Canis lupus familiaris: one gene and its partners. The protein of the gene in region 3 purifies or fractionates together with the protein of the main gene of each other region. This does not show direct contact. Links are inferred from orthologs where the notes say so. Each region holds a gene or a part of one and is shown on either strand. Other genes may lie near its edges. The genes, in order: SAP130, HMGXB4, RBBP4, ARID4A, EED, SMARCA1 and HAT1.

Region 1 (3,500 bases), on a different chromosome or scaffold from region 3:
TGTTTGAGTTCATTTTAGATAGTTATCAGGCCCTTTGTTCATAGGAGTGGAAAAGCTACAATATCCAAAAAAAGGCCTGTGTTCCATGGGTGTGGCTCTTGGGTTTGATATCTGTTGGGGAACCTAATGCCCAAATTCTCCTTAAGAAAATCTCACAAAGAAATAGCCACTTTATCAACCCTGAAATTTACCTGTATGCCAATGCCACTCTTGTACGTGCTGTGTAATTCATTAATATTAATTAATATTGGAAGCATATGACATGCTATTTCTCCCTTTCTGTCCTTACTAGTCAATGATGAATCTAGTCGAGAGGCTGAAGTCACTGCCAGGGAGCACATGGGTTCCAGCAGCTCCCTACAGTCCCGAGAAGAGAAGCAAGAGCCTGTTGTGGTAAGGCCCTATCCACAGGTGCAGATGTTGTCTACACACCATGCTGTTGCATCGGGCACACCTGTCACAGTGACAGCCCCACCAGCACATCTGACGCCAGCAGTGCCACTCTCCTTTTCGGAGGGACTTATGAAGGTAATGGAGAGGTTTTAAATTTCACATTAAACCACAGCTAAAAAGACTGGCTAATAATCTTCCTGACAATTTTCACAAAGTCTTAGGCCATATCCAGGATCTTAGTGTTTTCTTTTTGACCCACCAGTATAGCTCTTCTCTGTCACTTAGAGCTCTGCTATTCTGCAGTGCCTAGTCTTGTGCCGCTGGGCAGTTGGCATCACAGGATCTTTTCTAGTGTCCATTATTTTGACATTGATTTTATTCAAGTTATGGGCATGCTAACTCAGATTTTATCTTGGAGTGGCACTCTTCTCCAAAATTTTGTTTTAAAACTTGGTAATACGGGAGTATCCGAAAATATTGCCTTGTATTTTACTTCGTAGCTATGTTTCAGTTACTGGGAGTTTTATTTACTTCCACCCAAACTTAGGATGCAGAATTGTATAGAAGAAAGAATGTGGGCTGTGAGCCATACGATCTGGGTCTTGGTCCCAGTTCCAATTTTTACGGTCTGTGTGGCTTTGAGCAGGTGACATAGCCTTGCTTTGTATGTTTCCTCATCTGTAAAATGGAAATGCCGGTACTTCAATGGAAAAGCTGTGATGCTAAGAGATAAAATATATAAGGCTTCTAGATCTCTCCTGGTGTTCTCCAGGTTTGATTTGTGTACTTTTAACTATAGAATGAATGCATCACTCATAAAAAGCTATTGATATGTTTCGTGTGGTTTTCTGTTTGCAGCCGCCCCCGAAGCCCACCATGCCTAGCCGTCCCATTGCTCCTGCTCCACCTTCTACCTTGTCACTTCCCCCCAAGGTTCCAGGGCAGGTTACCGTTACCATGGAGAGTAGCATCCCTCAAGCTTCAGCCATTCCTGTGGCAACAATCAGTGGACAACAGGTTTTTTTCCTCTTAATTTGCTGATTTTCAAACAGAGATGCCAAACTGTTGATCATTATTTATTGAATGCCAGCAGTACATTGGGCACTGTACTAAGTAAAAAATTAAATGGTCACTGATCTCTGCAAGGGGGAGATAGTAGGTTTGAGAGAGAAGGCTGTTTACAGGGAGTAAAACTAACATGCACTGCACAGTGGTGTTTGTCATTTGGCTAGTATGTATGAAGCATCTGCTGTGTGTGAGGCACTGCCTTTGGTGTGAGATAAAAATCTAGATAAGATAGTCTGTGTCCTTGAGTGCTCAGAGTCCAGTTTTGTGGGATTAAGAATAGCCTCATGGCAGTAGTGCTTCTCTAGAATTTTCTCTGAGGAGAATGAATATGTATCCTGGGCGCCTAGCAGGTTCCGTCAAGCATCTTGTCAGTCATGAACACTTATTTTGTAGTTTCATGATTTAACTTTAATTTTTTCCTGAAATTCTCCTACTCCACAATATGTATATGATTTTTTTTAATATTTTGAATTACTGAGTAAAAAAACCTGAATCTAAAACCTTTCCCTTCAAGTTTTCAAGAAAAAGTTGGTATTCCAAGAAGACATACTATGTTTTCTTCCTTTTGTCATACTGCTGAGTACTTCCAGAAGTACCGGAACCCCCACCTGGGAATGGTGTCAGTCCTGGGAACATGTGAGAGGGGACATCTAAGCAGGGAGCTGAAGAATTCATAGGGGAGTACCTGCTGGGTGCTAATTGCCATTTACTTAGAAGTCCTGCATAGCATAAAGGATGGATGAATGCAGTAGCATGTAAAGGAAATAGAATAGGGAAAAATAAGCTTTTGGCCAAGGCAGAGAAAACAAGTGTGAAAGACTAATATTGAAGATGAGAGTGTCCCAAAGTGGGCAGTCATATGTGTCCATCTGTTAGAGACCTAACACAAGCTAGCCAGCTAGCCTTGAGGCGTTGGAGGGCCCTCACAGTCACTACATGCCTGCTGGCATAGGTCATCATGCATATGTTGTATATCCTTTCCCTTGGGATTCTCACTGCCTAAAAGGAACAACCCACAGTTGGAGGCAGCTGACCTAGAAGCAATGGCTAAGCATCAATGGCTAAAACCAAGCACATGAAAATAATATTACGTTCTGTCTCTTGCAGGGGCATCCCAGTAACCTGCATCATATCATGACCACAAATGTACAGATGTCTATTATCCGCAGCAATGCTCCTGGTCCCCCTCTTCACATCGGAGCTTCCCATTTACCTCGAGGTAAAGACTGCACAAATTGTTAAAATGTGATGGTGAAATATACGTTTGGTAAGAGATTTTTGTTACCATTAACAAAAAATATTTCTAGAATCATCTTATTAAAGTGACAGGACAACAGAAATAAGACACATTTTGAGCATGGTCTAGTATGCGAATTATAGTTGTATTTCAACAAGTGCGTGTATGTTTGTGTGTGTATGTAAACTTAAAGGTATGTGTAAACTTAAAGCAGTTCAAATTTTAATATGGTCTAAGGATTGTCCTGTATAATGAGGAACTCCTCAAAGCTATGATAGTCCAAAATGGTCTTCATTATTAATTTCTTTCTTAGTCAGAAATACAAACATGGATTATTCTTAAAGTTTATTGATAACAGTTACTCAAGTAACATAGCCGTAAGATGAATTTATTCTTACAATTAAGTTCTAATAGGTAGTCAAATATTAAACTGAATGAGTTTTCTCAACTACTTGATCAGAAATTGTAGCCTTCTATTGGTGATTGTAAAATCATCTTTGGGAAAATCAGGCTCATAAGTACAAAACCAGGTTTACTTGGTCATAACATAATTCAGTTTTTCTCAGAGTGAAGTTCACAAGAGTGTCTGTGTTAGGTCAAAACTACTTTTGTGAAAATACTGAGACATCATTTGCCTGTTGTACCATGTTGACTTCGCACTGACGATACAAAGGCAGTGGACCCTCACCAGTGGTTACAGTGCTGGAGCCTTGGCCTAAATGGAGGCAGTGGCACCACACTGTGCTATTCAATGTGCTTTGCTTCTACATACTTGCAGTTAAAAAAAGCAGCATCCAGTTTC
Region 2 (3,500 bases), on a different chromosome or scaffold from region 3:
AGACAGATGTAAAAATGAAATATAAAACTGGGAAAAAAATCAGAATAGTGGTTGGCTCCAGGGGTAAGGACTGACTGGGAAGGGGTATGAGAAAGCTGTTTCAGATGATAGTAATGTCTGTATCTTGACAGAGGTTTGGTCACGTTTGTGCGCATTTGTCGAAACTCACCAAATGGTATATAAACATGTGTACGTTTGTGCATAAGTAAATTCTAGTGGAAAAAAAAAAAAGCCCTGAATTCAGATATTAAACCTAAATTAATGATATGCAGGCTGAAGTCTTTAGGGGTGTGTATGGTATCTATAATTCACATTATAGATGTATAATTTACATTATATTTATAATACATTATAAAAGTTGGATTGATAGATGGACAGGTGTGTGATGAAGCAAAGAGCAAAACAGTAATTACAGAATCTCATTGGGTGGCATATGGTGTTCACTGTACAATTTCAAAGCTTTTTGTTTGGAAAGTTTCATGATGAAGTGTTGAGAAAAATGATTATAAGCATATAGTTTCGGGGCAGCCCAGGTGGCTCAGCAGTTTAGCGCCGCCTTCAGCCCAGGACCTGATTCTGGAGACCCAGGATCGAGTCCCATGTCAGGCTCCCTGCATGGAGCCTGCTTCTCCCTCTGCCTGTGTCTCTGCCTCTCTCTCTCTTTGTATCTCTCATGAATAAACAGATAAAATCTTAAAACAAAAAAAAGCATATAGTTTTGAGTTTGGGTTGACTGGAAGGACACAGGGAACACAGAAGCAGGTGGAGGAGGAGCTGCAGGTTTGGGAATCTGGATGATGAGCATAATTAGTGACACACGGGTATGAAGAACCCAAGGCATCTAGGTGGAAATATTTATCAGGCAGTTAGAAACGCAGGATTAGAGTTCACTTGTTTTGCTAGGCTACTTCGTAAATGTCTTTCTGCTTTCTTGTGTTCCCTTCCACTGAAATCCTTTCTCTTCTATAGGCTTTCTCTGACCACCCTGCCCTCCTCTATTCAGTGCTGTAAGATTAGTTATGGCTCTATCATATATTACTAGAATGGAAATTCTCAGGAGAAATAACAATCTTACACAGAATATGTATGATTTAACGAAGCAATTTTCAAATAAACAAATGAATATAAACCTGACCTAATAATTGACTATCCAGTTCTTTATGCTTACACTCATTCTTGGCTTGGAAGGTATAGTTTTGCTTTTAATTTCTGAGATATACATACTTAAAAGGCACTCTTTGGAGTACCTGGGTGGTAGAGTCAATTAGGCATCTGCCTCTTGGTTTCAGCTCACATCATGATCTCAGGGTGTTGAGATCGAGCTCTGCACTGGGCTAAGCACAGAGCCTGCTTAGTTTCTCTCTTCTTCTCCCTCTACTCCTGCCGTGCGCACGTGCTCTCTCTAAAATAAAGAAATCTTAGGAAAAAAAAAGATAACTCTTTGTAGTGGGAAACATAATTTACACCTCAATTACAGACTGAAGTGAAACTGCCATTTCCAAATTCTTAATATACTTGACTTTTTCCTTCTTAATATCGCCTCTTTAATCTGACATTTCAGTTTGCATTACTCTAAACAAAGGAAGAAAATGGTTGTCCTTAGGTGGAAAAACTAAGTTTTTTGACCTTCTTCTTTCCACAAGTCTGAATTTCTAAATTTCTATAAAATTAATACATTACTTTGATAACAGGGGAAACAGCTTATTTTTTTTTTAACAGAAAACCTTTAGTAACATAGTCTCAGCCCTGAAAGTACAACTGCTAGATTTCTTGAGCTGCAGGAAAGTTCAACCAAGGTCGCTGATTTCTCCTTCCTATCTCCTCAGCAATCAGTGTGCTCCTGAAGGTCTGGAGCTATGTCCTGCCCAGCTTGGCACCTCTCTACACCACCTAGAGCACTGGGCTGGGTAAACAGCAAGCACTTGCCTGTTGAAAGAACATACATTTGACACTAAAAATAATACCAGAAAGTGGCCCACACCAGTTAGCGGAAGGCCATTAATTCATTCCATTAACCTGGGTCATTATTTTCCTAATTTTGAAAATGTGTTTCCCAAAATGAACTAGAAAATACCTTTTCATCTCTCTCAACTGCCCCAGGCAGACAGTGCTGCCCAGTGAAAGGAACTGGGTTCGGCTTCTTCCGTGAATTCCAATTTCAACGGTATCCCTAAACCTATGCTTGGCACGATGGGAGACCACCATTATCAAAAAACCCATGAAAAATTAAGATTGCTCCTGTTTTTGAACTGGAGAGACTTGGTCCCTGGCAATATCTTACACCTCATGTCATCCCATGAGATTGGCCTCACCACACTCCCTGCGGTTCACCTCAGCTGCCTAATTCCAAGTCCACTTACTACTATCATCACTCACTCCCCAACACTTAAAAAAATGGTTTACCTTTTCTCCTCTCTCTCTCTCTCTGTCTTTCTCCTCTTTTTTCTTTTTTTTCTCACCGTGCCCATCCGTGTGGAGGCTGGGCAGGGGAGGGGGAGGGGCAGCAGCTCCAGTGTGTGGGACGCTGGGAGGAGGAGGGCCAGGTGTGACCTCTCCTGCTGGGGCAGCTGCAAGGCCTGAACTTCTCTTGGACTTGGAGTGCCGCTTCTCTTTATGCTTCTCCTTGTCCTTCTTCTTTTTGCTCTTCTTGGACTTCTTTTTCTTCTTGATTTCCCGGTAAGAGTCATCAATGACTAACTCCCCGGCCTCTAGCTCCCCACCAGAGGAGGAGTCCGATTCTACCAGAATAGGTTCAAGTCCTGAAAGATCAAGGTTAGCACTGTGGGGCTCTGGGAACTGGGAGGCATCTGACCCACAGCCTTCGGGGCCAGGAGAGGAATGTGGGTCTGAGGAGGACTTGTGCTTCTTCCGGGCTGTTTTCAGAAAGCTCTGTAACTCGTGTCCTAGGAGTAAAGCACCTTGCTCATCCCGAGCTGATTTCTTAGAGGATTTTTTCACAGTAGCTTGTTGAGAGGGGTACTGAAAAGGCTCCTCATCAACTGAGCTGCTTCCCTTCTCCTTTGGTGAGAGAATTAGTTTCATCTTTAAGCCATCAGGCTCACGAAGGGTCAGTGTCTCTGTGTTAACATACAGCGGTTTCATTTTTTTTGATTTGTGGGAACCACCGTCCTCCAGGGACAGGTCCCCACTGCTTCCACTTACTTTCTTCCTGTGGTGTTCTTTTTTACTCTCTGAATGACTTGAAGAACTAGAGGACTTTTCCCCTGTCTTTTTGGAGGGTTTGGAGCCTGCTGCCAGTGGGGAAGTGATGGCTTTCAACAGGTCCATGGCTGTATCGGCAGATTGCGGGCTGGACTTTTTCTTTTTCTTCTGTGACGATTCCAAAGACGAAATGTCTGGAAATAATCAAGAGAAGTAATGTCCACATGACAAACCAACTTCCAACAAGTTTCCTCTCTCACCAAAAACACTCAACTAATGTGAGGAAGAGGCTAAGAGAAATGATTTGAGGGGAGTCCCTTCAACTGATTCCTGATGAT
Region 3 (3,500 bases):
GTGGCAGGGATGCCTGGGAAGCTCAGTGGTTGAGCGTCTGCCTTTGGCTCAGGGCGAGATCCAGGATTGAGTCCTGCATTGGGCTCCCTAAGGGGAGCCTGCTTCTCCCTCTGTGTCTCTGCCTCTGTGTCTCTTATGAATAAATAAAATCTTTTAAAAAAAGAAACTGATGGCAGCGTATTTGATGAAAAATAGTTGAATGATGATTCCATGGTCATGAGCTATATCATACTGGATCAGTGGATCCCAAATATATTGGCCACCTACTAAGTCATTTGGGAGCCAGTATTTTTAAAAATCTTCCTATATAATTCTGTAATGATCTCAACCTAGAAAGCAGTGAATTAACTAAATTCGCCAACGTTGAAATCTATCTTAGTAGTTTTCTCATTTAGTGGAACTAGGTAAATAAACCTTTTTGCAGGGTTTGACCTTGGTCCAAATTCCTGTTCTTTATCTTCTGTTTTTTGTACCTTATACATAATGAAGATTTATTTTTTTATTTTGAGGGGGAGATTCCTGTTGAGTGTGAAGCCCCATGCAAGGCTGAATCCCATGACCCATGAGGTAATGATCTGAGCAGAAATCACCAGTTGGATGCTTAACCAACTGAGCCACCCAGGCACCCCAACGATACTAATTTTTTTATAAAGACTTTTATTTATTTGTTTGTGAGAGAGAGAGCTCATTTCATTTGCACGAACAGGGGGAAGGGGCAGAGGGAGAGGGAGAAGCGGACGCCCCGCTTAGCAGGGAGAGGATCCATCCCAGGACCCTGAGATCATGACCTGAGCCAAAGGCAGACCCTTAACCAACTGAGCCACCCAGACATTTCTTTAATTTGTTTTTTCTAAGATGAAGATTATTTAGAAACAAGCATACCTAATGTCAAGTGTTTAAATTTTTGTCTGTGGTAGTGACGGTAGTGGTATTCATATCTTTTTTTAAAAAAATACAATTACAATTCTATAACCTTCTTTGCTCATTTCCTCTGGTTCTTTGTTTAACCTTCTAAATGCAGGCATTCTCAGTTTTACATTGATGGCTCTCTTTCCTCTATTTTTCTATGTAGGATATAGATGTATATTGCCTCTGTACAGAGGAATTCCTATTGGTTATCTCTAGACCCAACCTCTGAGCTTTTCCTGAATTTACAGCTGCCTACTGGTATCTTCTTTGGAGTATCTGTTTTCCCCAACATCACATGTTCCAAACTGAGTATATTCTTTGCATAGAGGTCCCGCCCTAGCTTTCGCCTATCATTCCTATTTCTCTTTATCATACTTGACTTTGGTTTGATGTTTCCTAAGTTTTTCTCTTTTTTCCACTTGACAGTGCATAGATAACTCCAGTGAATTCTATTTGGGTAATATCATTTCTAGAACAGAGGTTTTTTTTGTTTTTTGTTTTGTTTTGTTTTGTTTTGTTTTAATTCATGAGAGACAGACTGAGAGAGAGAGGCAGAGACACAGGCAGAGGGAGAAGCAGGCTCCATGCAGGGAACCTGATGTGGGACTCAATCCCGGGACTCCAGGATCACACCCTAGACCGAAGGCAGGCACTAAACCTCTGAGCCACCCAGGGATCCCCTAGAACAGAGGTTCTTAAACTTGAACATGAATCATAATCAGCTGGAGGGATTATAAGGTGGATCATTGTACCCCGAATCCCAAGTTCCTAATTTATTATGTCTGGGATGAATCTGAAAATTTAATTTGCCTTTCTAGCTGAAGTTCCTAGATGATGCTAATGCTGTCGGTCCTGATACCACACTTGAAGAACCTCTGCTTTACACTGTTGGGTTAATTCTTCTGTGGTAATTCAGATGGTGCTAGATCCCTTAGAAATTTTCCATGATTGTTTGTTTTCCCTACAGTAGAGTTGTGAATGCCTTAAGATGGCATTCAGTATACTAGAATCTATTTTTTAGCCTTCTCTCTGACTTCATTTCCCACATCCAAAGTCAGATTGAGGTGTCAGTCTTAGTAGTTATGTGATCTTATTTAGGCAGGTTGCCTCATTTTCATAAACCTCAAATATATTCATCTTTAAGTGATACGTAGTTTGTAAAGTACTTAGGTATCTGACATTTTGTGAGCCTACCCTTTCTCAATTCCCTTTCCTTGGAATTCTCTTCCAGAGCCCTTGTCTCTTCTGGGTTTTATATCTCATTTTGACATCTGCCTCTTTCACGGATGCTTCCTTAATTCCAGAAGTAATCTTTCTTATCTAAATTCCCATCTTGTGTACCTTTAATGTATTTATTGGCTTATATTTTTGTTATTTATGGACATGACTATCTAATTGCCCCGGTTTTTTGAGTGCATGAATCACGTCTTAATCATTTTTGTACTTCATAGTATTTGGTGCAGTTTGTCCACTGATTAGGCACTCAGTAAATATTTGAACATTTAGTTTACCTGACATTATTTTCTTTCCTCTAATAAGATTTTCTTCTCGAAACCTGGTTGTAATAGTGCTTTTTCCATACATGTGTATCACTGACCTCATTGTCTCTCTTAGTGTTAATAATTTGAATAGTGATCATATACTGCTATTACAGACCAGAAGGGAAAGACTTCAGCATTCATCGACTTGTCCTGGGAACACACACGTCGGATGAACAAAACCATCTTGTGATAGCCAGTGTGCAGCTCCCTAACGATGATGCTCAGTTTGATGCTTCACACTACGACAGTGAGAAAGGAGGTAGGAATCTTAAAAGTGAAAGAAGGAATGATGTATGGGTAGTATCTTTCATATCTTTGAATTTACTTGAAAAGGGCGTAAAGTTTGATAAATTAGTTTGTTAAGTTAGTAGTAATATTTTGAGCTCTGGAAAACCCGAGTTTGTAATACAGGTGCAAACTGAGATGTCAGAAGACATAGTTAAAGCATACTTGGTTCTATGTCTTTTCTAGAAACCTTCCTCTCCTAAATTGGGGGGGAGGGTAGTTTCTAGAATTGAAAGAAGACAAAATCCACCATTTGTTCCTTTCTTTTCTTTTCTTTTCTTTTTTTTTTTTTAAGTTTTATTTATGTAATCTCTACACCCAATGTATGGCTTGAACTCAACCCTGAGATCAAGAGTCATGTGCTCTTCTGACTGAGCCAGCCAGGTGCCCCTTTATTTTTGTTTATTTTTAAGATTTTATTTCTGAGTAATCTCTGTACCCAACATAGGGCTTGAACTTGCAACCCCAAGATGAAGAGTCATGTTCTCTACCAACTGAGCCAGCCAGGTGCCCCCAAAGTCCACCATTTATTATTGCTGTGCATGCATGCATTCTTTCTCAGCATGGGAGATAATTGCCCCTATGGGGGGTTAAAATTGGTTCTTGGAGAGGGGGATGTATGAGAACAAGTCTTTAAATGTGGGAATCCGGGGATCCCTGGGTGGCGCAGCAGTTTGGCGCCTGCCTTTGGCCCAGGGCGCGATTCTGGAGACCCGGGATCGAATCCCACATCAGGGCTCCCGGTGCATGGAGCCTGCTTCTCCC
Region 4 (3,500 bases), on a different chromosome or scaffold from region 3:
GCCCATCACATTTATTAATCAGTACCTGTTAGATCAAAGCACTTAATATATTAACTTAATATCTCAGTATTAGTCCTTTGATTTTTCTTTTAGATTTATTTATTTTAGAGTGCATGTAGTGGGAGGAGCAGAAGAAGAGAGAGAATCCCAAGCAGACTCCCTGCTGAGTGTGGTTCTCAGTGTGTGTGGGGGCGCTTAATCTCATGACCCCAAGACCAAGGTCATGATCTGATCCAAAATCAAGGGTGGGACACTCAACTGACTAAGCCACTCATGTGGCTCAGTCCTTTGATTTTTCTAAGGATAACTATCACCTAAATATGATACTAGTGAAAAATGCAAAATAGCTCTTTTATAGAATTGAGACAGTAATATTTTCAATGTATTTTTACATGGAGTTTGACATACCCCCCACTCCCATTTTTGGCACAAATGTATGATTTATCAGAAATTTCTACAGGGAGGTATTCAGAGGTACATGATTAAGAGTTCTCTTCGGTAGAATTTTTATTCTAAAATTACATTGGTAATTCAAAACCTGTGTAATGTAATTTTTTTTTTTTTTGCAGACTCTTGCTCATCTGATAGTGAAACAGAAGACCTTTTAGAAAAGAATTTGATGAATGAAGAACTTTCTCCTGATATTAAAGAACTAGAAAAAAATGAGAATTTAAATGATGATAAACTAGATGAAGAAAATCCAAAGATTGCTGCACATATTTTAAAAGAAAATGAAAGGACGCAAATGCAGCCTTTAGAAACACTGAATTTAGAAGTTGGAGAGAATGAACAAATAGTACAGATTTTTGGAAATAAAGTGGAACATGTAGAAGAAGTTAAGAAAGAAGCTGAAAAGTCTCCCAAAGGAAAGGGAAGACGAAGCAAAACAAAAGATCTTTCTTTAGAACTTATAAAGATTTCATCGTTTAGCCAAGATGAAGCAGGAAGTGAACCTCATATAGAAGCTCAAAGTCTAGAATTTTCTTCGTTAGACAGTAAAAACTTTTCTTCTACTACCGAAGATGACACTGACCAATGTGCGAAAGAAAAAAAGCTGAAACGGAAAATACTGGGACAGTCATCACCAGAGAAAAAAATAAGAATTGAGAATGGAATGGAAATGACAAACAGCATCTCTCAAGAAAAGACCAGTGACTGTGTTGCATCTGAGGGAATGAAAAATTTAAATTTTGAACAACATTTTGAAATAGAAAATGAAGGAATGCCATCATTAATTGCAGAGTCAAGCCAACGCATTCAAGAATTAACTAGTGAAAAATTTGACAGTCCGGCTGAAGAAACTGTAAATACTCCACTGAAAGAAGAGGAGGATGCAATGCCTCTGATTGGGCCTGAGACTCTGGTTTGCCATGAGGTCGATTTGGATGATCTGGATGAGAAGGAGAAGAGCAGCATTGAAGATGTGGTGGTGGAAAGCTCTGAGTCTAACTCTCTTGTTTCTGTGCCGCCAGCCCTCCCTCCCGTAGTACAGCATAGTTTTTCAGTGGCTTCACCACTAACCCTCAGCCAGGATGAGTCTCGGAGTATAAAAAGTGAGAGTGACATAACCATTGAAGTTGAGAGCATTGCTGAAGAATCTCAAGAAGGTCTCTGTGAGAGGGAATCAGCAAACGGGTTTGAAGCTAGTGTTGCCTCCAGTACCTGTAGTCTGATTGTTCAAGAAAGAGAGAACAGAGAGAAGGGTAAGGACTTTCTTGGAAGAATATCAGCCTCGTATGTTCAACCCTCAAATTAGTAAGTTAAGAATTTTAGGAAATCCTGAGCTAAAAAGTTCCCTCCCTTCTCCCCTTCCTCATATTCATTCTTTCCTTTCTACCGCCCCCTCTCCCTTAAAAAAAAAAAGATGTATATATAGAAATACAAGTGGAGTAGACAGGTGCATAATTACAGCTGTTCTTGCCATGGCAGAGACTCAAGAGCAGAGTATGAACTGAGGTAGCTGGAGTTGTGGCAGAACAAGAGTTTAGGAAGTTTCTTCTCCTCTCTGACTCAGTTTTAGTTGAAAGGAGTTCAGCTGAAACTGTAACCAAAGGAGGCCTTATCCTTCCAGAAAAATCTCAAGGAGAAGTATTGCAAGCAGCAGTAGTAGTTAGCATGAAAGTTGGAGATAAAAGTTCTTCTCCCAGAATATGGAGGCACCCAAGTTGTTCCAGATAACAAGGATTATTTTTTATTTAGAGATGGTGACATTCTCAGAAAGTATGTAGACTGAATAAATCGTTATTGAAATGGCATCATGTGAAGGTGCCCATTCTACTGAAGTTGTGAAATCTTTCATCATGTAAATAATTTCCATATCTCCCTTTAATAAACTAACCATATCCAAAATAGATACATATTTTTTAAGTTGTCTCTTTTCCCTTGTTTTAGGTCAGAAAAGGCCAAGTGAGGGAAATAGTGGGTTAGTGGCAAAAAAGCAAAAGCGTACCCCAAAGCGAACGAGTGCTGTAGCCAAAAGTGAAAAGAACGGAACAGGTAGGTGCTTTCCAATGCTGGCTTTAGCATAATGCTAATATTTTCAGCATTTTGTTGGCTTCATCATTTGTGTCAGTTTAAAAATAAATTTGGTTTAGGGATGTCTGGCTGGCTTACTTGGTAGATACGTGACTCTTAATCTCAAGACTTGTGAGTTCAAGCCCCATGTTGGGGGGTAGAATTTATTTAATAATTGTTTTGTAATGTTTGATTTATTATGTTCTGGAAATAGCAATTTTTCCACTAATTTTTAATCTGAAGAGGCTTGCCAATTTTATTTAGAGCTGAGATAGCTGTTTTTAATGCTTATTTCATTTGTATTTCTTATGTAAAGTGATTTAATATTGAGGAATGTATTTGAGAATCTTGAATAATAGGAAAGTAATATTTGCTCTAGTGGTAAAAGCAGATTAAGTTTACATTTCTGAGTGGAATGGTTTAATCTAGAAAAGCTGATTTCTGAATAGTATGGTATTTTTAAAACAGGCAAATAATAAAATTCTTATGGAAACAAACAAGGAACTTAGTAAAATCAGTATGAATTAGATTACATGAGAAAGACTTCTGTACAATAAGGAATAAAATTAAATCGTAGAACATAATAGAAATAAACATCATTAATTTTGACAAAGTTTTATCTCCAAAACATGCCTTCATACAAGTCTGAATGGAAAATTCTAGGTTACAGTAGATACATATCCCATGGAGGGAGCATGTAATATATACAAGATAAAAGGCATTTCAAAGCAAAACCTTTGAACCATATATGAAGTTCTCAGTAGTCACATGTGGCCAGTGGCTGGACAATACAGATGTAGAGTATAGAGGAGGAATGATGGGAAATGAGGATAGAGAAGCAGTAGGAATTATCAACAGCAACTAAATAATATCCTAGTGTTTGGCAGATACGTTTGTCAAACGATCAAAGTGAACATCACCAGTAATGTGACAAATGGAAATCACGTACTATCACAGCAGCACATCTGTGACATTCCTGTCGAAGA
Region 5 (3,145 bases), on a different chromosome or scaffold from region 3:
GGCCCTGCTTTTGAACCATTCATATGTTAGTGAAACGGGCAGAGCTGCAACATGTGGCTGTGTGGGCTGTGTCCTGTAAAACTCCGGAAAGCTCTCTACCAACAGGAATTTCTCAGTCCAGGTTCTGTTGAAATACTGGGCTACACAATCTTTATTTTTAATGGGAGGGGCCATCCTGTATATTGATTGTAGGATGTAGCAGCATCTCTGGCCTCTACCTGCTAAAGGCCAGGGACATTGCCAAATGTTCCTTAATTGGCACACCACTGACCTATAATATGAATAGTGCCCACTGTGTTGCAGTTTTTTTTCAGCAAAGATACTATGTTACAGAATAAGAAAAGTATAACTTAGTCTATTTCAGTCGTATCCCCATATCAATGTCTTGATTTAAACCACTGAGTTTATTACCTTCTATATAATATGATTTTTAAGGCCTCTAAGCAGGGGCCATACTGAAAAGCATATTTTTGTATAGAGTTTTTATAATTTTATCGTTTATAATTTTATAAATTATAATTTTATATTTTATAACATATAATTTTATATATATATTTTTTAATTTTATATTTTATATTTTATAACAAATGTTATAAAACACTCAAGTCTCTGGATGCCAGAGTATTGAGAGCTGAATTTGGTTTGGAAAAGAAATTCTGACTTCAAAATGGATATTCCAGATAATATAATGCTTTTTAATATTGTCAAATTCTGTTGTAAGATGACCTCTTATCCTCAAGTGTGGACCTTGACTCTGTAAATATAAATAAATGTATATCACTGTATCTACTAGATGGATAACCAGGTCTTAAGACTGTCAATTCTAAAAAGATAATAGAGAAAAGAAGGCTTTGTTTTAAGTTTTAAATTTCAGTTCTATATGTAACAATTTTTTCTCATTTCTGTCTTCTAAAGTCTTGTGAAAATGCCATTGTGTGCTGGAAACCTGGCAAAATGGAAGATGATATAGATAAAATTAAACCCAGTGAGTCTAATGTGACTATTCTTGGGCGATTCGATTACAGCCAGTGTGACATTTGGTACATGAGGTTTTCTATGGATTTCTGGCAAAAGGTAGCAACATATTTCTACATTTTAAAATTACTTCAGACCATTGTAATTTCACTTTTCTCTGTTGTGCATCCATGTTCAGTTTCCTCTAAGAATCTACCTTGATATCTTGTAGTGATTGATTACTTTAGCCGTTGATGTTATTTATTCTATCTTTATAGAGTAGGCTCTCCACACCATTTGCAGTGCGTATTATAAATGCAGTTGACAGGTGTCAATCTTGGCAATGGTGCTTACTTTCCATAACATCTGTTACTAAGATTTAATGTTATGGTGATTGAATGTTAACTTTTTAAATAGCTTTTTTGTAGAAAAGCTTAGAGAAATTTTAGAGATTGGTGTTATGAATTTGTAGTAACAAATTATCTGGGTATTTATTTCTATAAGAAAACTTTGGAGGAGCTGTCTGTAGCTTTTGCTACAATGTAAATTGTAAAGTCCTTCATAAATTTGCCTTCTAATTTGCTCAGGATGCCTCTGAAGTATAAGTTGCTGTTATCCATTTACGAATCAGAAGTATAAGATACAAAGAAATAGAAATAATCAGGAGTATAGCCATAGTCTGGAACTGAGGTTTTTATGAAATATGAATATATCTTAGGAATATTTGAATGCTCTATAGCCTATTTTAATAATTTGGTGTTTTTAAAAATACGTTTATACAGATGCTTGCATTGGGCAATCAGGTTGGCAAACTTTATGTTTGGGATTTAGAAGTGGAAGATCCTCATAAAGCTAAGTAAGTATTTAGAAATTTTTATTGATAATTTCTGTCTTTTTCTCAAACGCTATGCCAATATTTAATTTATTCATGAGAGACACAGAGAGGCAGAGACACATAGAGGGAGAAGGAGGCTCCGTGCTTGGAGCCTGATTGGGACTCAATCCCAGGACTCCGGGATCACAACCTGGGACGCTCAACCATTGAGCCACCCATGGATCCCTTGAAGTATCATTCTTAAATCATTTTTAACATTTATATGACTCAGTTATTTAAAAATATTTTTTATTCTCATAATGGCTGTTTATCATGAGTACTTTGGTGACAAGTTACACCTTTCTTTTTATTAATTTAAAATATACCCAAATGTTATGAAATTAGAGATTGAGCTCTTAGTGATATTTTAAATGCTTTCCATATGACTTGGAACATCTGTTTGTTTTCTTATTCGTTGGTTTAATTTGCTACTGACAATATTTATGAATGGCTTTTAACCTATTGTCTTGTTTTTTCCTAGATGTACAACACTGACTCATCATAAATGTGGTGCTGCTATTCGACAAACCAGTTTTAGCAGGGATAGCAGTATTCTTATAGCTGTTTGTGATGATGCCAGTATTTGGCGCTGGGACCGACTTCGATAAAATATTTTTTCCTTATCAAAATTAGAGTGTGTTTTCTGTGTATAATAGAATTAATGTATCTTGCTAGTAAGGGCACATAGAGCATTTAGAGTTGTCTTTCAGCATTCAATCAGGCTGAGCTGAATGTAGTGATGTTTACATTGTTTACATTCTTTGTACTGTCTTCTGCTCAGACTCTACTGCTTTTAATAAAAATTTATTTTTGTAAAGCTGTGTGTTTATTTTCATTGTGATAAAAAGAAATGTTGAAAGTAATAAAAGTATTCCCTTTCTTTTTTGTAATGATCATTTTTGTAGTCCTTTTAACTGAAGAAAGCTATATAATGTAGTGATTAAGTGTAAGCTCTAGGATTAAGCGGACTTTAGTCTTGGCTCTGCAAACATGAGCTGAGCTAAGTAATTTAACATCTACCTCAGTTTCTTCTTGTGTGAAACAGGGATAAGAATACCTACCTCATAGGGTTATTAAGGATCAAATGATTAAATAAGTGAAGCAGCTGGAATAGTACTCAGATGTACCCTAAATACATTGTTGCTTCTTTTTTATAAAGATTTCATTCATTCATTCATTTATTCGAGAGAGATCACAAGCAGGGGGAGTGGTAGAGGGAGAAGCAGACTCCTTGCTGAGCAAGGATCCTAAAGTGGGACTTGATCCCAGGATCCTGGGATCATGACCTGAGCCAAAGGCAGACGCTGAACTGACTGA
Region 6 (3,500 bases), on a different chromosome or scaffold from region 3:
AACTGTAAAGCTTTACTTACAGTTAAATGTACTAGTGTCTGATTAAAACTATTATGCTATGCTTTCTCTGGAATATAATTGAATACAAAACTTCTATTATTATTATCTATTATATTATATATCTATTATTATATATATATTATCTATTATATTATATATCTATTATTATTATCTATATTATTATATATCTATTATCTTCTAATATTATTATCTATTATAATTGAATACAAAACTTCTATTATTATTATCTTTATTATTATTAGGAAGACTCATTGACCAGCAATCTAACAAGCTGGCAAAAGAGGAAATGTTGCAGATGATACGTCATGGAGCCACCCATGTTTTCGCTTCTAAAGAAAGTGAGCTGACAGATGAAGATATTACAACTCTTCTGGAAAGAGGAGAAAAGAAGGTTAGTTAAAATGTCATTTGTTTTCATGATGAATTGCTTTAAAATCAACATACTTCAGCATGCTTAATTGGATTTGTGTTGTTTCACATGACTCATGTTCTCTCTAAGGATTTGTGGATTTATATCCAGAGGTAGTTTAGGGTTTTTTAGTTTAATTTTTGTTAAGAACGACTAAGAACTAGAGTTTAAAAATGAGTGATCTTACATCTCACGTTTATTGAAAATAATGTTGGTATTTACTTAAAAGCCAAATAAATTTCATGTTTAGTCACATATCAGGACTACATTTTTGCAACCTTTTTCTTGCACTGGATTGGAAATTATTTTCTCACACATTGTGTTAAGTGAAAACCTTTTGTGAACATTTCATGAAATATTAAAGCATTATTTGTTAAAGTCTAATAAACTATTTCAGAATATTGCAATTTTGTGTTGAATTTACCTTTTTTGGTGGGGTTCTGAAATAGTTCTATTCTAGTCCTACCTTCTTTTTTTACAAATTACTTTGGACAATTTCAAATACACATAAAAATAGGTATTATATGACTACATCTTCACTGATAAAAGACTTTAAAGAAAGCCTGAGAATACTTGAATACCTATTTAAATATTTAAAGTACTTGGAGCAAGTAGAATTTATATTCATTTAGTATTAGCATTGCATTCTTACCGTGTAAATTAACAGATTGGATATTTCATGTCAAACCTGACTTTTAAAAAGCTAGAGAGCCCACAGATTTTTTATAAGTAATTCAGCAATAATTTTCTAATTTCAATGCATTGAACTGTAGACTGCAGAGATGAATGAACGCTTGCAGAAAATGGGAGAGTCTTCTCTGAGAAATTTTAGAATGGATACTGAACAAAGTTTGTACAAGTTTGAAGGAGAAGATTATAGAGAAAAACAGAAGGTAACTTTTTATTCTCAGCCATTAGCCTCTCAAATTAGCATTTCTTCCCATAACCATTATTAAAAAACACTGACGGGGTGCCTGGCTGGCTCAGTCTGTAGAGTGGTGACTCTTGATCTTGGGGTTGTGAGTTCAAGTCCCATGTTGGGTGTAGGGATTACTTAAAAATATAAAGAAATAAAATTAAAACAATAATAAAATTTAAAAGACCCTACTGACACTCTCCTATTACAATGCTCTGCTATGGAGTGAAATTTGATGTAGGTCAAATCTCCTGCAAGTGCTATGTTTAATAAACTTAAACTTAAGCTGGATGATGATGATTGCCATCATGCTCATCATCATTTTTGCTGCTTTTGATACTGTTGTTTTCAAGAAGCAGTACAGTACTGTGGTGGAGTTCCTGAATTCTGAAGCTGAAATCCCAACTGTATCACTAATTCAGTAACTTTGGGCACTTATTTTTCTCCTGTCAGATGGAGGGTATAGTAATATATGGCATGGACAGCAAAAGTCCTTTGAGGAAATAGAGGAGTTTTATTTATTTTGTTTCAAGTTATGGCTATAACTAAAAATTTTTAGATTTAGAAATTATTTGTACAAAAAATATAGAGTTCTCATATATCTTTCAGCTAGCTTCCCTTAATATTAACAATTTACATAATCATAGTACAATGATCAAATCCAGGAAATTAACACATTTTCTCCTTAATGTTCTTTCTCTTTTCTGGGGGATACAAACCAGGATCTCACATTGCAATTTGAAAAATCTCTATTTTTAAGATCACTTTTAGATTCACCACAAAATCAAGTGAAAAATACAGAGTTCCCATATTCTACCTCTCCCAAACATCGCCTACTACACTATCAATCTCACATCACAGTGGTACATTTGTTACATTTGAACCTACACTGACACATCATTATCATCCAAAGTCCATCTTTTATGTTAAGGTTCACTTTTTGTATTGTACATTCTGTGGATTCAGATAAATGTGTAATGACACGTATCCACCATTATAGTATCATACAGAGGAAATTCACTGCCCCCTAAAAGCCCTCTGTGTTCTGCCTATTCATTTCTCCCTCCTTCTGTAGCCTCTGGCAACAACTAATCTTTGTACTACCTCCATAGTTTTGCTTTTTCCAGAATATCGTATAGTTGGAGTCCTATAGTACATAGCTTTTTCATATGGGCTTCTTTCATTTAGTCCTTTGCCTTTAAGATGCCTTTGTGTTTTTTCATGGCTTCATAGTTCATTTCTTTTTTAGTACTGAGTAATACTCCATTGTCTGGATGTATCACTATTTATTTATTCATTCATCTACCAGAAGACATCTTGGTTGTCTGTAAGTTTTGGCAGTTCTGAATAAAGCTGTCAAAATCTTTGTGCAGGTTTTTGAGTGTACATAAATTTTCAGCTCTTTTGGGTAGATGCCAAGGAGCATGACTGCTAGAGCATATGGTAAGCTTATGTTTAGTTTTGTAAGAAGCTGCTAACCCTTCTTCCAAAGTGGCCATACCATTTTGCATTCCCATGACCAATGAATGAGAATTCCTGTTGCTCCATATCCTCACTAGCATTTGGTGTTCAGTGTTCTGGATTTGGCCTAATAGGTGTGTAGTAGTATCTCATTCTAATTTGCATTTCACTGACATAAGATGTTGAGCACCTTTTCATTTATTTCTATCTGTATATCTTCTTTGGTGAGACATCTATTCAGGTTTTTTGCCCATTTGTAAAATCAGGTTGTTTTCTTAGTGTTGAATTATAAGTTTTTTGTATATTTTGGATAACAGTCCTTTATAAGATGTGTCTTGCAAGTATTCTTTATGTGCATTTTTCTTATTCTCTTGACCCACATTGCATTTTTTTGCTGTGTCTTTTTAGGTTCCTTAATTTGAATTAGTCCTCAACCTTCTTTTGTCTTTCATGATCTTTACACTTTTGAAGAGTATTTGTTAGTTGTTTTGTAGTTTTGGGGTTTGTTTGACATTATCTCATGATTGGATTGAGATTATGTATTCTTTGGCAAGAATGCCATGGCAGGGATATTAAGTCTTCAGTATATTTTACCAGGGAATATATGATGTTGTGTCCTATTACAGGAAATATTAACCTTGATCACTTAGTTGAGGTGGTGTCTGCTTTGTTTCTTCACTGTAGAGTTACCAT
Region 7 (3,500 bases), on a different chromosome or scaffold from region 3:
ATTCTTTCAAGCCTTCTACTGATCATAAAGCAAGAGCTCAGAGAAGTGAGGTGACTTGCTCATAGTCCTACATCTGTGAATGATAGAACTGAGACTCAAACTGATTTTCTCTGTGTAGTCTTCTTTCTCTCCATCATGTTTTGATGTTTTCCTTGTCCACTACATAGTCTAATGTAAGAGAGGAACATAAAGGAAGATCCATGCGATTCAGATCCATTAAAGAAAGGATCAAAATCATATTGTCATTTTATTCTTTGAAAAAAAAAATTGGGGCAGCCTGAGTGGCTCAGCGGTTTAGCGTTGCCTTCAGCTCAGGGCATTATCTTGGAGACCCCGGATCAAGTCCCGCGTCGGGCTCCCTGTGTGGGGCCTGCTTCTGCCTCTGCCTGTGTCTCTGCCTCTCTCTCTCTCTCTCTCTTTCTCTCATGAATAAATAATAAAATCTTAAATAAATAAAATTTTTAAAAAATTTGTAGGGCAGCCTCGGTGGCTCAGCAGTTGAGTGCCACCTTCGGCCCAGGGCATGATCCTGGATTCCCCGGATCGCGTCCCACATCAGGCTCCCTGCATGGAGCCTACTTCTCCCTCTGCTTGTGTCTCTGCCTCTCTCTCTCTCTCTGTCTCTCATGAATAAATAAGTAAAATCTTAAAAACAAGAACCTTTGCTTTCACAATTTTTTTAAATTATATGCTTCTAAATTCTTTTTTTAAAGATTTTTTTTTTTTATTCATGAGAGACACAGGGGTGGGGGAGAGACACAGGCAGAGGAAGAAGCAGGCTCCATGCAGGGAGCCTGACGTGGGACTCGATCCTGGGTCTCCAGGATCACGCCCTGGGCTGAAGGCGGCACTCAGCCGCTGAGCCACCCAGGGATCCCAAAGAGCTTTGTTTTAATTAGGTAAAAGAAGTATAGCAGACTATAAAGATTATTGGATTAAAGTAAGGGAGTTATAAATTGAGCTTTAGAAGGCTTAGCTATCGGAGAATAGTAATGGATTATCCAAACTTTAATCTTTCATTTATACAGTTGCTTTAATTGTAAATAAAACTGAGATGCACACGGTAGATCACACCTGTCAAAAAGTTTACATTTGAAAGTGGCTCTAATTTCACAAATGCTGTAGGTCTTTTCAAAAGGATTGCACCTACAATTTATTTTGGCAAAGATGCTGTTGTTTGATTGATAAGGAATAACTTCTCATTATAACTTTTGCCTTATATAATTCTTTTAAGAATATTTGTTTTCCTAGCCTAGGATTTTTTTGAGATTGCAAATGATGAATTATGTTGGATAAGGGAAATGTTATTCTGCCTTTTCTTCAGCGGAAGATCCATCCAAAAGCTATGTGAAATTAAGAGACTTTGTGCTTGTGAAGCTTTGTCAAGATTTGCCTTGTTTTTCCCGGGAAAAGTTGATGCAAGGATTCAGTGAAGCCATGGCAATAGAAGCACAACAGAAGTTCAAAATAAATAAGGTATTTTTATTCTATAAAGGAAAATGTTACAGTTTTGAAGTTTTCTTTCTCTCTCTCTTTTTTTAAGTACATAACTTAAACATTGCAAGTACATTAAGAATACATGTGTGGGAAGTGGCAGTGGTTGAGAGTACAGGCTCTGAAGGCAAGTTGCCTGCCTGGGTTAAGATCTGGTTACGCTCTGTGACTTAACGGCAGTTTAATTTCCTCATTAATAGAATGGGAAGATAGTTGATTTTATGGCTATATTAAGTGTAACAAGAAGAATAGAATGGAAGGTATCATCTTATTTTTGCTTTTTAAGAAAATGTTTGCTATGGCAAAATAGTTAATTCATGTGAAGTATATATATATTTCTATATATTTGAATTTTAAAGTAGTAAATATCCTAAAATAGGTACAGAAAAAATATTCTGGCAGTTCAGAGGAGGGAATTTAGTTTATTATATTTATGTATGTAAGGGAATCAGAGTTTTTCATGGTACGGAGCTGCATTTGATCTAAGTCTTGAAGAATGGATAGGATTTGGATTATGAAAGTATGTGAGGGGCTCCTCGGTAGCTCATTTGGTTGAGCATCTGACTGTTCATTTTGGCTCAGGTCATGATCTTAGGATCCTGGGATCAAGTCTCATGTCAGGGTTGGCACTCAGCTAGAGTCTGCTTGGGTGTCTCTCCCTTTGCCCCTCCCCCCAGTTGCACGTGGGTGTGCTTTCAAAAGAAAAGAAAAAAAAGAAAAGAATATGAGATGAATAATAAGGACTGGTTTATGATGCTGTTAACCTCTCCTCCCTTGCTTCTAAGGTACCACAGTTCCTGATTTTTTCATTTAGCACTGTGGTCATCTTTTTAGAGATGCTTTTCCTCTTCTGTATGTTCCCTAAAGATGATTCTTCCCCAAAGTTCTTTATCCAGTCTTTATTTTACTTATTCTACCTGGGTGATCTCATTTAATTCTTCAATGTAGATTTTCCTCCTGTATTCCCAACACTGTATATCAAGTGTCCTGGGGCACCTGTGTGGCTCAGTCAGTTGGGTGTCCGACTCTTGATTTCGGCTCAGGTCATGATCTCAGGGTTGTGTGATTGAGCCCCTCATCAGGCTCCCTGTGGGAAGTCTACTTAAGATTCTCTCTCTTTCCCTCTTCCTCTGCCCCTCCCTCCCATGCTCCAGAGCATGCTCTCTCTTCCCCTCTCTCTCTCAAAATAAATGAATCTTTTTTAAAAAAAAGGTTCCTGGCCACTAACCTTCACCAACTTAATTTTTTTTTTAAATATTTATTTTATTCATTAGAGACAGAGAGGCAGAGACATAGGCAGAGGGAGAAGCAGGCTCCTCACAGGGAGCCTGATGCAGGACTCGATCCCAGGACCTGGGGATCATGCCCTGAGCCAAAGGCAGACGCTGAACCTCCAGAGCCACCCAGGTGTCCCACAACAGTTTAATTTGAACTGAAACTTTGCATCTTCTCCTTTACACTTTAATGGCTTCCTGGTTTTAAGATAAATACATGGTTTAGAAATATTCGGTATGTTTAGACTGTATTAAACTTTTAGAGAATTTATTTAGCAGCTAGGCTTTTAAAAGAAAGAGTAGGAACACATTTTTCAAAATTATGCTTTTTTTCTTAAAGGAATTAAAATTTAGTATGGCACACCAAACCCGTCATAATTTGGACCCTGTCAACCTTGGTAGACTCAACTTTCTACCACTTTCCTTCTTGCTCTGGCATTACTAAACCTCTTGTTATTTCCCAACTGTGCTATATCTTTCTTCTTGTTATATCGCTTTATGTTAACTATGCTCTTTGCCTGTGATACCCCCTTCTCTTGTTCCTCCATCTTTGTCTTGCCAGATATAACTCCTCTTTTCAGGCTCAGTTGAGGTCCCTTCTGGAAAGTTCAGACATCATTTTCCCATCTACCTTATACCTGATCTCCCTCTACCCCCAATAAATATATCAGTGAAACAACATAAACAGAAAAACTATGGGCTTTTCTTTTGGCTTCAGTGATACCAAAATTT

What was found.
Region 1: the proteins of RBBP4 (region 3) and SAP130 purify together in Homo sapiens (co-immunoprecipitation; 3 studies listed by BioGRID and IntAct, with this or other methods). This does not show direct contact. The link is inferred for Canis lupus familiaris from reciprocal best matches to the Homo sapiens genes RBBP4 and SAP130.
Region 2: the proteins of RBBP4 (region 3) and HMGXB4 purify together in Homo sapiens (affinity purification with mass spectrometry; 4 studies listed by BioGRID and IntAct, with this or other methods). This does not show direct contact. The link is inferred for Canis lupus familiaris from reciprocal best matches to the Homo sapiens genes RBBP4 and HMGXB4.
Region 4: the proteins of RBBP4 (region 3) and ARID4A purify together in Homo sapiens (co-immunoprecipitation; 4 studies listed by BioGRID and IntAct, with this or other methods). This does not show direct contact. The link is inferred for Canis lupus familiaris from reciprocal best matches to the Homo sapiens genes RBBP4 and ARID4A.
Region 5: the proteins of RBBP4 (region 3) and EED purify together in Homo sapiens (affinity purification with mass spectrometry; 10 studies listed by BioGRID and IntAct, with this or other methods). This does not show direct contact. The link is inferred for Canis lupus familiaris from reciprocal best matches to the Homo sapiens genes RBBP4 and EED.
Region 6: the proteins of RBBP4 (region 3) and SMARCA1 purify together in Homo sapiens (affinity purification with mass spectrometry; 5 studies listed by BioGRID and IntAct, with this or other methods). This does not show direct contact. The link is inferred for Canis lupus familiaris from reciprocal best matches to the Homo sapiens genes RBBP4 and SMARCA1.
Region 7: the proteins of RBBP4 (region 3) and HAT1 purify together in Homo sapiens (affinity purification with mass spectrometry; 5 studies listed by BioGRID and IntAct, with this or other methods). This does not show direct contact. The link is inferred for Canis lupus familiaris from reciprocal best matches to the Homo sapiens genes RBBP4 and HAT1.

The regions. Positions count from the first base shown.
Region 1 is NC_049240.1:23,957,439-23,960,938, forward strand, and holds part of SAP130 (histone deacetylase complex subunit SAP130), read left to right. Parts: intron 1-292; coding exon 293-528; intron 529-1,251; coding exon 1,252-1,410; intron 1,411-2,568; coding exon 2,569-2,680; intron 2,681-3,500. UniProt on the Homo sapiens protein: Acts as a transcriptional repressor. May function in the assembly and/or enzymatic activity of the mSin3A corepressor complex or in mediating interactions between the complex and other regulatory complexes.
Region 2 is NC_049231.1:29,846,124-29,849,623, forward strand, and holds part of HMGXB4 (HMG domain-containing protein 4), read right to left. Parts: intron 3,357-3,500; coding exon 2,404-3,356; intron 1-2,403. UniProt on the Homo sapiens protein: Negatively regulates Wnt/beta-catenin signaling during development.
Region 3 is NC_049223.1:68,048,063-68,051,562, reverse strand, and holds part of RBBP4 (histone-binding protein RBBP4), read left to right. Parts: intron 1-2,563; coding exon 2,564-2,709; intron 2,710-3,500. UniProt on the Homo sapiens protein: Core histone-binding subunit that may target chromatin assembly factors, chromatin remodeling factors and histone deacetylases to their histone substrates in a manner that is regulated by nucleosomal DNA.
Region 4 is NC_049229.1:34,013,709-34,017,208, forward strand, and holds part of ARID4A (AT-rich interactive domain-containing protein 4A), read left to right. Parts: intron 1-569; coding exon 570-1,703; intron 1,704-1,950; exon of another isoform or gene 1,951-2,378; intron 2,379-2,391; coding exon 2,392-2,496; intron 2,497-3,500.
Region 5 is NC_049242.1:13,357,256-13,360,400, reverse strand, and holds the end of EED (polycomb protein EED), read left to right. Parts: intron 1-915; coding exon 916-1,074; intron 1,075-1,736; coding exon 1,737-1,810; intron 1,811-2,309; coding exon 2,310-2,436; 3' UTR 2,437-2,645; downstream 2,646-3,145. UniProt on the Homo sapiens protein: Polycomb group (PcG) protein. Component of the PRC2/EED-EZH2 complex, which methylates 'Lys-9' and 'Lys-27' of histone H3, leading to transcriptional repression of the affected target gene.
Region 6 is NC_049260.1:101,600,178-101,603,677, reverse strand, and holds part of SMARCA1 (probable global transcription activator SNF2L1), read left to right. Parts: intron 1-263; coding exon 264-412; intron 413-1,203; coding exon 1,204-1,323; intron 1,324-3,500.
Region 7 is NC_049257.1:16,673,778-16,677,277, forward strand, and holds part of HAT1 (histone acetyltransferase type B catalytic subunit), read left to right. Parts: intron 1-1,324; coding exon 1,325-1,476; intron 1,477-3,500. UniProt on the Homo sapiens protein: Histone acetyltransferase that plays a role in different biological processes including cell cycle progression, glucose metabolism, histone production or DNA damage repair. Coordinates histone production and acetylation via H4 promoter binding.